3 linked regions of the Cricetulus griseus genome follow. The protein of the gene in region 2 binds, or shares a complex with, the protein of the main gene of each other region. Links are inferred from orthologs where the notes say so. Each region holds a gene or a part of one and is shown on either strand. Other genes may lie near its edges. The genes, in order: H/ACA ribonucleoprotein complex subunit 1, Tert and Wrap53.

The links.
Region 1: Tert (region 2) and H/ACA ribonucleoprotein complex subunit 1 share a complex: the UniProt entries of both Homo sapiens proteins name them as parts of the telomerase holoenzyme complex. The link is inferred for Cricetulus griseus from reciprocal best matches to the Homo sapiens genes TERT and GAR1.
Region 3: Tert (region 2) and Wrap53 share a complex: the UniProt entries of both Homo sapiens proteins name them as parts of the telomerase holoenzyme complex. The link is inferred for Cricetulus griseus from reciprocal best matches to the Homo sapiens genes TERT and WRAP53.

The regions. Positions count from the first base shown.
Region 1 is NW_023276806.1:29,074,883-29,079,136, forward strand, and holds the start of H/ACA ribonucleoprotein complex subunit 1, read left to right. Parts: upstream 1-1,451; 5' UTR 1,452-1,594; intron 1,595-1,814; exon of another isoform or gene 1,815-1,817; 5' UTR 1,818-1,829; coding exon 1,830-2,046; intron 2,047-2,485; coding exon 2,486-2,640; intron 2,641-3,090; coding exon 3,091-3,150; intron 3,151-4,254. UniProt on the Homo sapiens protein: Required for ribosome biogenesis and telomere maintenance. Part of the H/ACA small nucleolar ribonucleoprotein (H/ACA snoRNP) complex, which catalyzes pseudouridylation of rRNA.
Region 2 is NC_048595.1:368,311,076-368,314,578, forward strand, and holds part of Tert (telomerase reverse transcriptase), read left to right. Parts: intron 1-1,262; coding exon 1,263-1,364; intron 1,365-2,085; coding exon 2,086-2,171; intron 2,172-3,503. UniProt on the Homo sapiens protein: Telomerase is a ribonucleoprotein enzyme essential for the replication of chromosome termini in most eukaryotes. Active in progenitor and cancer cells. Inactive, or very low activity, in normal somatic cells.
Region 3 is NC_048600.1:83,418,847-83,423,078, reverse strand, and holds the start of Wrap53 (telomerase Cajal body protein 1), read left to right. Parts: upstream 1-1,429; 5' UTR 1,430-1,486; coding exon 1,487-1,560; intron 1,561-2,785; coding exon 2,786-3,181; intron 3,182-3,303; coding exon 3,304-3,402; intron 3,403-4,159; coding exon 4,160-4,232. UniProt on the Homo sapiens protein: RNA chaperone that plays a key role in telomere maintenance and RNA localization to Cajal bodies. Specifically recognizes and binds the Cajal body box (CAB box) present in both small Cajal body RNAs (scaRNAs) and telomerase RNA template component (TERC).

The sequences.
Region 1 (4,254 bases), on a different chromosome or scaffold from region 2:
ATTGACTACTTTTCCAGAGCCCCTAGGTTCAATTCCCAGCATCCATATGGTACCTCACAACTGTCTGTAACTCCAATTCTAGGGGACCTGACACCCTCACACAGACATACATGCAGGCAAAACACCAATGCACATAAAATAAAAATAAATTATTAAAAAAAGAAGGGAGAGGGAAAAGAATGGACTCGTGAGAAATTGAGGTTTTAGTTTCCCCCTTCACAAGCTAGGGAAGTTTCTTCTCTCTTCTGGCTGTCAGTTCCTTACTTATATATAAAATGGTCAGCTGCCAGGTGTTCCTGAAGGTCTTGTACAAGTTAAATGGTTTTGTCATATTGAGTTGGAGACAACAGTGGGACATCAAATGCAGATACAAACATTGAACTTAATGTTAGATGACAATGTCAAAATGAAAGATACAAATAACTCTAGCCTCCCATGATGTACCTACATACATACATACATACATACATACACATACATACATAATATCCAGCTGCATTTAAAATACATTTGCCAAATTCTTTTTATATGTGGGGCTAGTATGTACTTCAAGAAGTTTATAGTTCAGGGTAAATGACATACTTGAATTCCTAATGTTTCTATCAAAGATCTTTCAAAATTTTATTCACAATAACTCTTTGCTATGGGGATCAACCTTTGCCTTCGAAATTTCACAGCAAAGGTGGTATTGTCAAGAGATGTTCCAGGCAATTTGGATATAAGATAAGTCAGTCAAATTTAATAGCTAGAGTTCACTTCCTTTATTATGTTTTCGTGATGTGGGGAAACCGATATCAGAGTCTTAATAAGAGGGTCAAGAAGACGGAAGGTGAGGTGCGTCTATAGGCTGGTACCCAGTCTGTCGGTGTTCCAAACGTGTTACCTGGGACTAAATATTAAAAGATGGTTCTCTCTCTCTCTCTCTCTCTCTCTCTCTCTCTCTCTCTCTCTCTCTCTCTCTCTCTCTCTCTCTCTCCCTCCCCCCCTCTCTCTCTGTCTGTCTCTCTCTCTCCCTCCCTCCTTCCCTTTCTCCTTATTTTAATAATAACATGACAAAAAACAATATAGCATACAGAGTTACATAGTTTTGGGGGAGGGGCAAGAAACTGCAAAGGACACACAGTTGGCGGTCCCAGGTTCTACCTGAGAGGCGGCCACCCCAGATCTGTGGAGCTGAGTCAGGTCGGGACCTTCTCGCAGCCAAGCCAGCACGTCTGGGGGTCAGAAAGCCTCACCAGCTATTAGGACGGAAGGATCCAGACTCCCGCTGTCTCCAAGGGCAACGCGCTACCACACTTCCGGAAACGTCGCGTACGGAGGGCACTGCTATTTTGCGTCACTTCCGCTACCCCGGCCTGTGCGGTTCTGGGCAGGATTACGCTGGACGGGATTGTTTCTCTTCCGGTGCTCTACCCCGTGTTAGGGAAAGCATCAGGGCCGCTGCGTCGGCCAGTGACAGGCTCTTCCCGCCGGCCAGCCCTCCGCGTTTCTGGTCGGGTAAGCCTGTGCCGGTACGGTGGCCGAGGAGGTCTGAGCGCGCCGGAAGTGTTGGCGGGCGCTCGCGGCTCGCTGGGCTAGAGACGCACGTGGCGCGGTGAGTGCGGCGCGGGCCGAGGGTGTGGGGAGGCGGCGGCCGGGATGTGGCGGCGGCGGCGCTGGGCCGCGGACAGCCGGGTCTCGGCGCCCCTCGCTGGCTGTGTGGCGAGCGGCAGGGCAGCGGCAGTGCTGCCCTCCCTTCGGTGGCCTGGGTGAGCCCCAGGGGACGGATGGATGCTCCGAGGCCGCAGTGACCAGGAGCGGGCCTTCTTTTTCACCAGGCCGCACACAACATGTCTTTCCGAGGCGGAGGCCGCGGAGGCTTCAGTCGCGGCGGCGGCGGCGGCGGCGGCTTCAACCGTGGCGGCGGCAGCAATAACCACTTCCGAGGGGGAGGCGGCGGCGGCGGCGGCAATTTCAGGGGCGGCGGCCGAGGAGGATTTGGACGAGGGGGCGGACGTGGAGGTTTTAATAAATTCCAAGATCAAGGGCCTCCGGAACGTGTCGTCTGTAAGTGGCCTTCAGAGCTTAGTCTCCTTTGCAGTGGGAGTGGAGTCTGTAGGAAATGATCAAAAAACAGACTGATTCAAGTTTATAGGCTGGGGAAAAGGAAGACTAGTCAGGGAAATATAATGTTTAATGAAATTGTAAAAAGTCATAGCAGGGTAACTGGCGCCAGGCACTGTTCTAATTACTTGGTCTGTCTGGTTACGCATGTATTAGGTATGGCTGCAGTTACATGTGACTAGCTTCATGTACAGGGTATAGAGAGAAGGGAGGTCTCTTCTAGGTTCCACAGTAATGGCGTGCTAACGTAGTACCACAGTGTTGATAACTAAGCTCTACCTTGGAAATCAGATAGTGGGAACGACCAAGTGGTCAAGAATGCTTCCAGCACAGTTGATCAGTATCTTAATGATTCCATGTCTATTTTCTTGTGCTGTTTCAGTATTAGGAGAGTTCATGCATCCCTGTGAAGATGACATCGTTTGTAAATGTACCACAGAGGAGAATAAGGTGCCTTACTTCAACGCTCCTGTTTATTTAGAAAACAAAGAACAGATCGGGAAAGTAGATGAGATATTTGGACAACTGAGAGATTTTGTATCCTTTCTAATGGGATGAGCCAGTGATCTCATTGAAGAATTATTTTCCCTCCCCTCCCCAGCCATTTAAATATCAGGTGAAGCAAACTTACTGCTTCATTTAGTAGATAGCAATGCTCCAGACAGGCCATAAAGAGAATCTGTAGGAGAGAATGCATTCATGCACATTTAGAAGTGATGAACCAAGGGGAGATCACTGTCCTTTTGGAAAGTTCTGGGAATGGTGGCCATTTGTATACATGCCACAGGATTGTATTGGCTCTGCTGTTGCTTTACTGGAATATCCTGGTAGACTTGGGGGATACAGATTGTGTTTTTCTAAAGAAAATATAATCTCCTCTTGGAAATTTCTTACTTTTATAGCCAGGCATTCTTTTTAAAATGCTTAAACTCAAAAGTTTAATACCTTTTTACATCTTTCTCACTTGTTCCTTAATGTAATTAATAGTATTTTTCAGTTAAGTTGTCAGAAAACATGAAGGCATCTTCCTTTAAAAAGCTTCAAAAGGTGAGTCAAAATTACAATTAAAGTTCTTAGACTCAGAAGAGAATGTTGTGTCTTACAGATAGTCTTACTTGAGGCCCTTACTGCCCCTCCACTGTGTTGTAGCAAAGTTCTGAAGCTGACGTGTAGTTCACAGACAAGCATTGAGTTTCCTTTCTCCAGGTGTCTCAGTGCTGTAGCCCCAGGTGAACTGGAACTCACTTGTTGAGACTTGGTTGTCTTTTAACTTGCCTGTTTCCTGGGTGCTGGGATTACAGGTATGTGCTGTCACACTCAGTCTAAGCATAAGAGTCTTGAAAAGTAATGTTTTTGGCAAGAGTTGGTGATGTAAGCCAATAGTCCCAGCACTTGGAGGCAGAGAGGCAGGAGGATAGCTGCTTTGAGTCTAACTTATGCCACAAATTGAATTCCAGGCCATCCTGAGATAAATACTAATAAATCTGTCTCAAAAACAGATAATTCACAGCTGTAGATAAGACACTAAAGGATTTCACAGGTATTGTGTTAACATGGTATAATCTGTTTAAAACAGTAAAAGGTTGACCTGAAACTAGAGTGGGACCAAATTTCATCCTAGCCTTCTTTGAAGTGCTGCTTTTGAAACTGAAAGCTAAAAGTTAACCAGGAAAGAGTCTTACATCACAGATACCTGAGGATAGCTCTTAAGGTGACATCCTTTTGGGTCCCCTTACAAATTTGACTCTTTTTGTTTTTCGAGACAGGGTTTCTCTGTGTAGCTTTGGAGCCTATCCTGGCACTCTCTCTGGAGACCAGGTTGGCCTGGAACTCACAGAGATCCGCCTGCCTCTGCCTCCCAAGTGCTGGGATTAAAGGCGTGTACCATCAATACCCAGCTCAGTTACTCTTAAGTAGTAGCACCTTCAATGCAGTTTCAGGAAAGAAGGCTGGAAAATTTTGATGTAGTTAGGCAGTATTTAAGCATTGGGCTAGCCAGAGAGCAGGGAGTGTGTTCATAGAGAAAACTGAAGTATCAGGATGGCAGCCTGCAGAAGCGTTTAGGACAGGGAAGGTTCTGAATTAAAGGACTGGTGTGGTAGGAAGGAGCTTCCTAAGTCATGAGAAAGAAATTAGGTTTTAGTGTTAACA
Region 2 (3,503 bases):
TCATTATTTTGAAAATGCAGGCATTTTCTATTTATATTGCTATTTTTTTCTTTATTAATAAATTTTTATTTAAATTAAAAACAATCTTATTTTACATACCAATCCCGGTTCCCTCTCCCTCCCCCCACCAACTCCTCATCCCACCCCCACCCACTCCCCAGGGATGGTGAGGCCTCCCATGGGGGTTCATTAGAGTCTGTAACATCATTTGGGGCAGGACCTAGGCCCCCCTACCCCACCCCCCCGGTGTATCTAGGCTGAGAGAATATCCCTCCATAAGGAATGGGTTCCCAAAGTCCATTTGTGCACTAGGGATAAATACTGGTTCCACTGCCAGCTGCCTCATAGACAGCCCAGACCTCCGAACTGACACCCACATTCAGGGGATCTGGTTCAGTCCTATGCTGGTTCCCCAGCTGTCAGACTGGGGTCTGTGAGCTCCCTCTTGCTCAGGTCATATTGCTATTCTTTTCTAGGTTAATTCTTGTACTTTAATTTCTCTGGGTGACTTTACTCCTAGTACTATAGCAAACCAACTTGGCACATGGGTTTTTGGGGTTTTTTTGTGCTACTACTATATGTTAATTGTACATAATAATGGGTTTTGTTATGACATCTTTATGCACAAGTATAATGCATTTTGACCATATTCATACACGCAGCCTAACATGGGAAATTATAAGGTTCAAAGCCAGTGTGCAGTCTCCACATATGAGAGCATGAAACAGAAGTATTGCAAGTTTGAGGACAGCCAGCATTACTCAGAGACCCCAGTGTTCACACGTCTGGACGTCTTACACCTAGCATGCTAGGAATTGTTCCTGTGCTGTCAGTAGATGGTGCTGTATTCCTTCTGGTGACATCGTGTCTAGAGACATGGATCTTGGTGGCCACTGGATAAAAAGCAGGCATCCTAAAGAGTCTGTTGCAGGAGATGAAGGAGCCATCCCCTCCCTAATCCTGTCAGCTCTTCCTCCTGACTGCCGCTGTCTCTGTGGAGAAGTTGGGATGCTACTTGTGTTGTGACCATCGGTAACCACAGCATTATGGGGGTGTCTGACCCAAGGAGAGCTGACTGTGGTGCAACCTGCTGTTTCTGTGGCTCTTCCTGCTAGGGTGCTAGATTCTCCCTTTTCCTGTTAAGACTCTAGGATGGAGTGGTCCCACACTGTTCTATTGTTGAACTGTGCTGTGGCAGTCCTGGCCAGAAAACCATGTGCCCCTCTGGTTCCCCTCAAGTGTTTACCTCTTCTGTGCTGCAGGTCTCCACCCTCTCTGACCTCCAGCCACACATGGGCCAGTTCGTGAGGCATCTTCAGGACTCAGATACCAGTGCGCTGAGGAACTCCGTTGTCATTGAGCAGGTCCTTGGGCTCCCCATTAATCGGCCGCACCTGGTGGGGCCTTCCTCCTCTACTTGGCTATTTGCTTCAGTGTAGGAATGTGACCAAGGTATTCCTTGGTGGAGAGTTCCCATGACCAAGGCCACTCTTTCCTGGTGGCAGTCCCCATCCCTATGACATGACCTAGACTCCCCAATAGCTACTAAGGTGGGCATGCTCTGAAGTGCCCTTTATACCCTCGTCCCCCATACTCCACTGATCTACTAGTGAACTGGTAAAAATATCTTCTCCCTCAGTTTTGACCTTGAGACCATAGTTTTATTTTAGTGGGCAAATTGGACTTGATCTGTGGTCCCCATCTTGGCCCATTCAGTTTACCTATGCCACACCTAGGAGATCTCCTCCCACAAATCAGTGGTTCTACAGAACTTCCTTTGTACATATCCTGACTTTGGGGCAGCCATGCTCACTGAGACCTTTGGATGGTTTTCCTTTAGCTCAGTGGGGTGCTGTGTGAGCTCCAAGTTCCCCAACCTAGTGCTGTAGAAATATAATAGGTTACATTGCCACTTTGTAAGTTACATACCCTGTCACCTTGAGTCAATTTCTTCCTGGCCATGCAGGGACACTTGACCCTGGCCCCACCCCTACTTTACCATGAACATTTTGGTCTTACAGGGTCATCTGGTGGCAGAGTTCTGCATCCTCCCACTCATCTGTCCACATGTGTCTGCTTTTCTAGAGCTTATCTCTGAGTGAGGCCAGCAGCAGCCTGTTTGACTTCTTCCTGCACTTTGTGCATAACAGTGTTGTGAAGATCGGTGGCAGGTAGGCACAGGCGTAGGGCAAGTGGGCAGAGGCTGGGCAGGTACAGATAGAGACCATCCTGACTGCTGAGCAGGGTGCTTGCTAACTGGCTACAGCACTTAGAAGCCTATCTGACTGGCTCCCTCTGCCTCATTGCTTCCTCCCCACTCCCCTTCATAGAATTTTCTTGCCCTTCTGCTGACTGGGCCACGGGGCTGCCTACCCATGAGGCCCTGGGAGTTCCTGACTAAGCATGGTCCTAATGAAGTTAATAATTTTGTATGCCTCGAGTTCCTGTTGTTACTTTGACAAAGTGGCAGGGGCACCTCACCTGTTTAGCCAGGCATGAGACACATGTAGACACATGAGACACATCAACAAAGAGAGTGCAGTGCCTATGGCTGAGTCCCCCAGAGACTCCCATGAGTTATAAGCCAGAGCAGGTACCCTTTGAAAAGCACTGCTGTAGTGAAGGGAACCCAGACTGGCTCAGTGCTAGAGCTGTCTAACAGCCCATCAGCCTGCAAAGACCTACTTTGTATGTCTGGATCAGATGTGAGGTTGAATATTTGAGCATTTGGTTGCATCTTCTGTACCCAAAGTCCCCACTTAGAGAATGGAATGCACTTGGCACCTTTTTGCTGGACTGATAGGAGCCTACACAATGAGTGCCAATACAGAACAGAATTCCAGGCTCACACCCAGGATTATTAGAGATGAGGGCAGGCAGGACAAGAAATATCTGACTATCAAAAGTCACAGTATGTGTTGGGCTGTAATTGGAAATGTTTGATATGCATGCTGGGAAACCACAAGCTACAAGCATGCAACTGGGTGTTTTTTTCACAAACACCACAAAGGGTGCTCCTGAGTCCTGATAATACTGAGCACAGATTTGTGAGTCTGTGTCCATGTGGTAGATAACTTAGTCCTAGTGTGGGTCAGCCAGATACACTGAGAAGTCAGGTCTGTGTACACCATGCCTGGAGAGCTTCCTAACAGATACTCTAGCCAAGGGGACTGAGTCTGTGCAAGGGGTCAGCTCATACCTACTCTTTCTCACACACGGGTTCCCTGGGTAAGTTCCCTGCCTGACCATCTGAAGGTACCCACCCCTGCCGGCACCCACCCCTGCTGGCACCCACCCATGTATGTTTGATTGAAGGGTGCCATTAGGTTCTCTGTGAAGAAGGCACTGACAATTTTACATGGCTATGACCCAGAATGTCCTTCCACTAATAATCTGTTACTAATTGTCCCAGATAAATATTCAGTTCAAGAGCCTGATTGCTTATCATTAATGTTTAAAATCTAAAAATTTTAAATAAAAAAAAAACAACCTGGAGTCAGTGA
Region 3 (4,232 bases), on a different chromosome or scaffold from region 2:
TCCAGTCTAAAACTTTAAGGGTAGTCATTTGTACATTTCTCTGTAAACCTGAATTTCTAGTCTTCCTGTGAGTTTACCTGAAGCCACGAAAAGAAAATTTCCTATCTATTGTTCACTTATTCTTTAGACTAAAATCACTAAACCTTCAGAGGGAAAGAAATTTATTCCCCTTCCCAAGTGCTGTGTGGAAATAGTACTTTTACAAAAAAGAAAAGAAAAAGACATGCACAATTTCTGGTGCTCAACAAGAAACTGCAATACAATGACCTGCTCTTCAGACTGAAGATGCAGTAGCAGGCAATATGTATATCGTGGCAGCCTTGCCATTATAAGAATCGTCCTGTACTGGCCGACTGCACTTAGGACCTCTGGGCGCCCCTGGCCAAGGCCCGCCCCTTCCGCTCTCAGGACGTGAGGAATGCGTTCAGCAAGGGAATGGCTCACCCCAAGACCGGATACTCGGTAATTTGTTTTTCCGGCACGAACAAACGACCTATTCCCACACTCTATTAAATAAACACCTCCTCCTCTGCAAAAGTAATAACGAAGTAATCCAGGAAAATGCGATGATCGAGGGTGGCAGTTTCCCTTCCTCAAGCACCAGCCAGGAATACATTTTTTTTTCCCATTCCTACTCCCCTCTGGTCGAGTGATCGATGAGCTGCTCCGGAAAAACCGGAAATGCTCCTGCAAGCGGCAGAAATGCAAACAATAACAGGGTCGGCGGGCCTTTCAGATCCAGACAATTAGTTCGGGCCACAAATGCAAACACTTCTCACTAGCGAGACTGACAGTTTTTCTTTGGACTTTCTTCGACTAGCAGGGTTGGGGTGGGGCTGGAAAAAAAAAATCACTCCAGGAACAAAGGTCCGGAAGTTGGAGACCTTAACAGCAGGACTTCCCGGATCACCCCGATTTAATTAAGGAATGGAGCCCGAGATTTCATTAGGATGCTAGGGGCTCTAAAGTCTTAAGCTGTGAATCTTGAAAGATCTCACATCACAGTGCTTTGTGCATGTTATTCCTGGGGCTTCCACCACCCAGCAGCTAGTCGATAAGTGTGTGGCGGGGAGAAAAGCGCCGGCTCAGTGGTCCCCAAATTCTCTATGTACTTCTTCTCAGGTGTTCGGCTGCTTGGTCCTAGCATCCCCACCATCTACATTCATCTACATCATGCTCAAGATTGTATTCATGGTCATCTCGCCCGCCAAGTTTCCATTCACCCCACCTCGCCCAACCTGCTGAGTCCCCCACTGCCCCACCCCCCAAACCCCGCGATTCTCTCTAGCCTCCAATTATGCGAACCGAGAGCCGGTGACTCAGAGAGGACTCATCAGGCTCACCCGGTAACTTACCAGGTCTTCAGGGGGGAGCGTGTTACCCCGCTGGGAAGTAGATTCCGGACCCGGATGCCAGGGACCCCCTGATCCCAATAGCTACCTGCAGCCAGGATGGTAGACTCCAGCACAAAACTTTTCAGGAGCACATGGGAGGGGAAAGTCCCTATCCCAGCATTCCTCGCGAGACTGCTGGCACAAAGCTGGATAGTCGCCATGACAAGTAAGGGCAAGCCATTCTGTGGGTGGAGGGCAAGAAGCGGAGGGGAGGGGCAGTTACACAGCCGGGATTCTTTCTGCGTTGTTGCCATCCATTCGATCGCTTTGTGAGAAGTACTCTAAGACGGAGCTGTGAGGGCAAAACTGGTGGAAACCGCTTCGGAAGAGCGCTGAACACTGCTCTTTCCGATCTAGCTGTATAGTTGGAGTCGTCTTCTTTTTGGCTTTTTGAAACAGTGTCTTTATAGCCAGGCTGGCCTCGAACTCGCGGCAGCCCAACTGCTTTAGCCTCCCACGTATAGGGATGAGCCAACGCGGGCAGCGGTTTTTTTTTTTTTTTTTTTTTCTCACCAGCTAAAATGTCACTTTAGAAAGGCTTTTCTTAATATCTCAATCTAACGTGTTCTCCAAGATACTTCATATCACACCATCTTGTTTAATTTCCTGTACAGTCCTTATCACTATCTGTGGAGAGTGTTTTCACAGCCTTCAATTGCACAGCCACGACAATTTTATGGGCATAGAGAATTTGCAAATTGTTTTCTCTAGTTCCTCGTATGCTGCTGGGTAGGAAGTAAGAGCGTGATAATAAATGTTGAAAGGAAGAAGGGAGGGAGGGGGGAAGGAAGGGAGGTGGGATGGACAGGATGGGAGAATGAAGGGAGGGAGAGTGGGAGAAGAGGGAGAGAGGGAGAAAGGAAATCTTTTGAGGTTGCCCGACTCAAAACGAGATTCAAGAAGGGCAAAACTGTAGAAATTCAGCGCCCTCTGCAGGTCATGGAGGGAAGGTACCTTAAGAATCACCCCAGCGGACGGTAGGGGGAACGCGTGTACTCTTCTCCAAGTCAAAGAGAAGACTACAACTCCCAGAATCCTCTAAGAATTCTCTAGCGCTTGAGGGCTGGGCCCCCTCGTTCCTTCCCGCCTCACCGCTCAGACGCTAATTAGGATGCAGAGAACCAATTGGAAGGTGGCCCGACTCCCGCGAGAGCAAGAAGCGCTGGCGGCGCGTAGCGACCCCAGGTGCTTTGCTCTCTGCTTTGGTTTCCCGGTGTTTGCTCACTGTTGCTGGCTTCGGCTTACTCTTCCCGGAAGAGTAAGGCAGGCACGTTGGGGCTGTGCAGTTCTGCACCCGGATTCCTGGGGACTTTAATGCAGTGTGGCCTCAGCAGCTGGCAGCCGGTGCAACGAGGCTTGCCCGGCCCCTGACCTCCTAGCTTGCTCTACAGAATGAAGACGTCGGAGGAGCGACTCTTAGTCCCGGACAGTCTCTCTTCTGACCAGGCCCCAGCTCCAGTGCCCCAAGGGACCCCTGTGGATGAAAATACAGACTCTGAACCGGTGCCACCGCCATGCGGTGGAGATGACCGACCCCAGGTAGCCACAGATTCTGTGGCTGGCTCGGTTGTGTTCCAGGATCCGCAACAAGGGGATCTAGTTCCTCCCTCCGCTCCCCTGGAAGTAGGGTTTAATACTCCCGGTGAGTCGAGCCCTCGAATCGAGGAGCAAGAACTTTCTGAAAATGCGAGCCTTCCTGTGACAGAAACGAATCGGCCTGAGTTGGAGTCAGGAGAAGCCGTGGAAGATGTGTCTGAAGAACCCGGTCAAGTGGATGAGGGAGACACGTAAGTGACTCTGGAGTCCGAGGAGCCTGGACATAGGAAAACGACAGCCTCCAGTCCTCAGCTCCGCCCCAGGCCCATTTTGCTGTAACTTACCCGTTTGTTGTTCTCCATCTCTTTTCTAGCTTTTGGACCTACAGCTTTTCACAGGTACCCCGATACCTCAGCGGTTCCTGGTCCGAGTTCAGCACCCACTCTGAGAACTTCTTAAAAGGTTGTAAGTGGTAAGTACAACGGGCAGGGAGATGACCACCTTCAGGGTTTTCATCTTAAAGCCCACCCGTATTTGACCCGTCGTAGTTGGACAGCCCTGTAATCTCAACATCTTGGAAACAGGGAGGATTGGGGGTTGGAGGTCTGCCTTGTCCATAGAGTGAGAGACCCTGTCTTAAAATAAGAACAAAAACTAGTCTGGGTGGTGGTGGCACATGCCACTCGGCAGAGAGGCAGGAGGATCTCTGAGTTCAGAGGCCAGCCTGGTCTACAGAGCGAGTTCTGTGTAGCCAGGGCTACACAGAAAACCCTGTCTCAGAAAAAAAAAAAAAAACAAAAAACAAAAACACAAACAAACATACTTATCTGGAGGTGGTTAAGGAATAAGAATACTGGTTAGTACCCAGGTTAAGGGTTTTTTCTTTTCATTGTCCTGTCGATCTTTCCTTCCATTTCTAGTACTGTGGATTTAGCCTAGGGTGTCCATCATGCTCGCCTGACCCTCACCAGTAGGCTACATCCTAGACTTTTTTTTTTTTTTTTGCTTTGTTTTGAGATACGGCCCTGCCAAGTTGTCCAGACTGGCCTGGAACTTGAGGTCCTCTGCCTCAGTCTCTCAGTAGCTGTGTGCCACCACTCTCCGCATGAGCTGAAGTTTTACCTAGGACTGATTGGTGTCTTCTCAAGGGCATATGTACTAAGATAGTTCTAGACCTACACCTGGAAATCATAGGTCTGTTCAGTTTTCTAATTTCCCTATGTTTTTAGGGCTCCTGATGGTTCCTGTATCTTGACCAATAGTGCTGATAACACTCTGCGGATTTACAACCTGCCCCCAGAG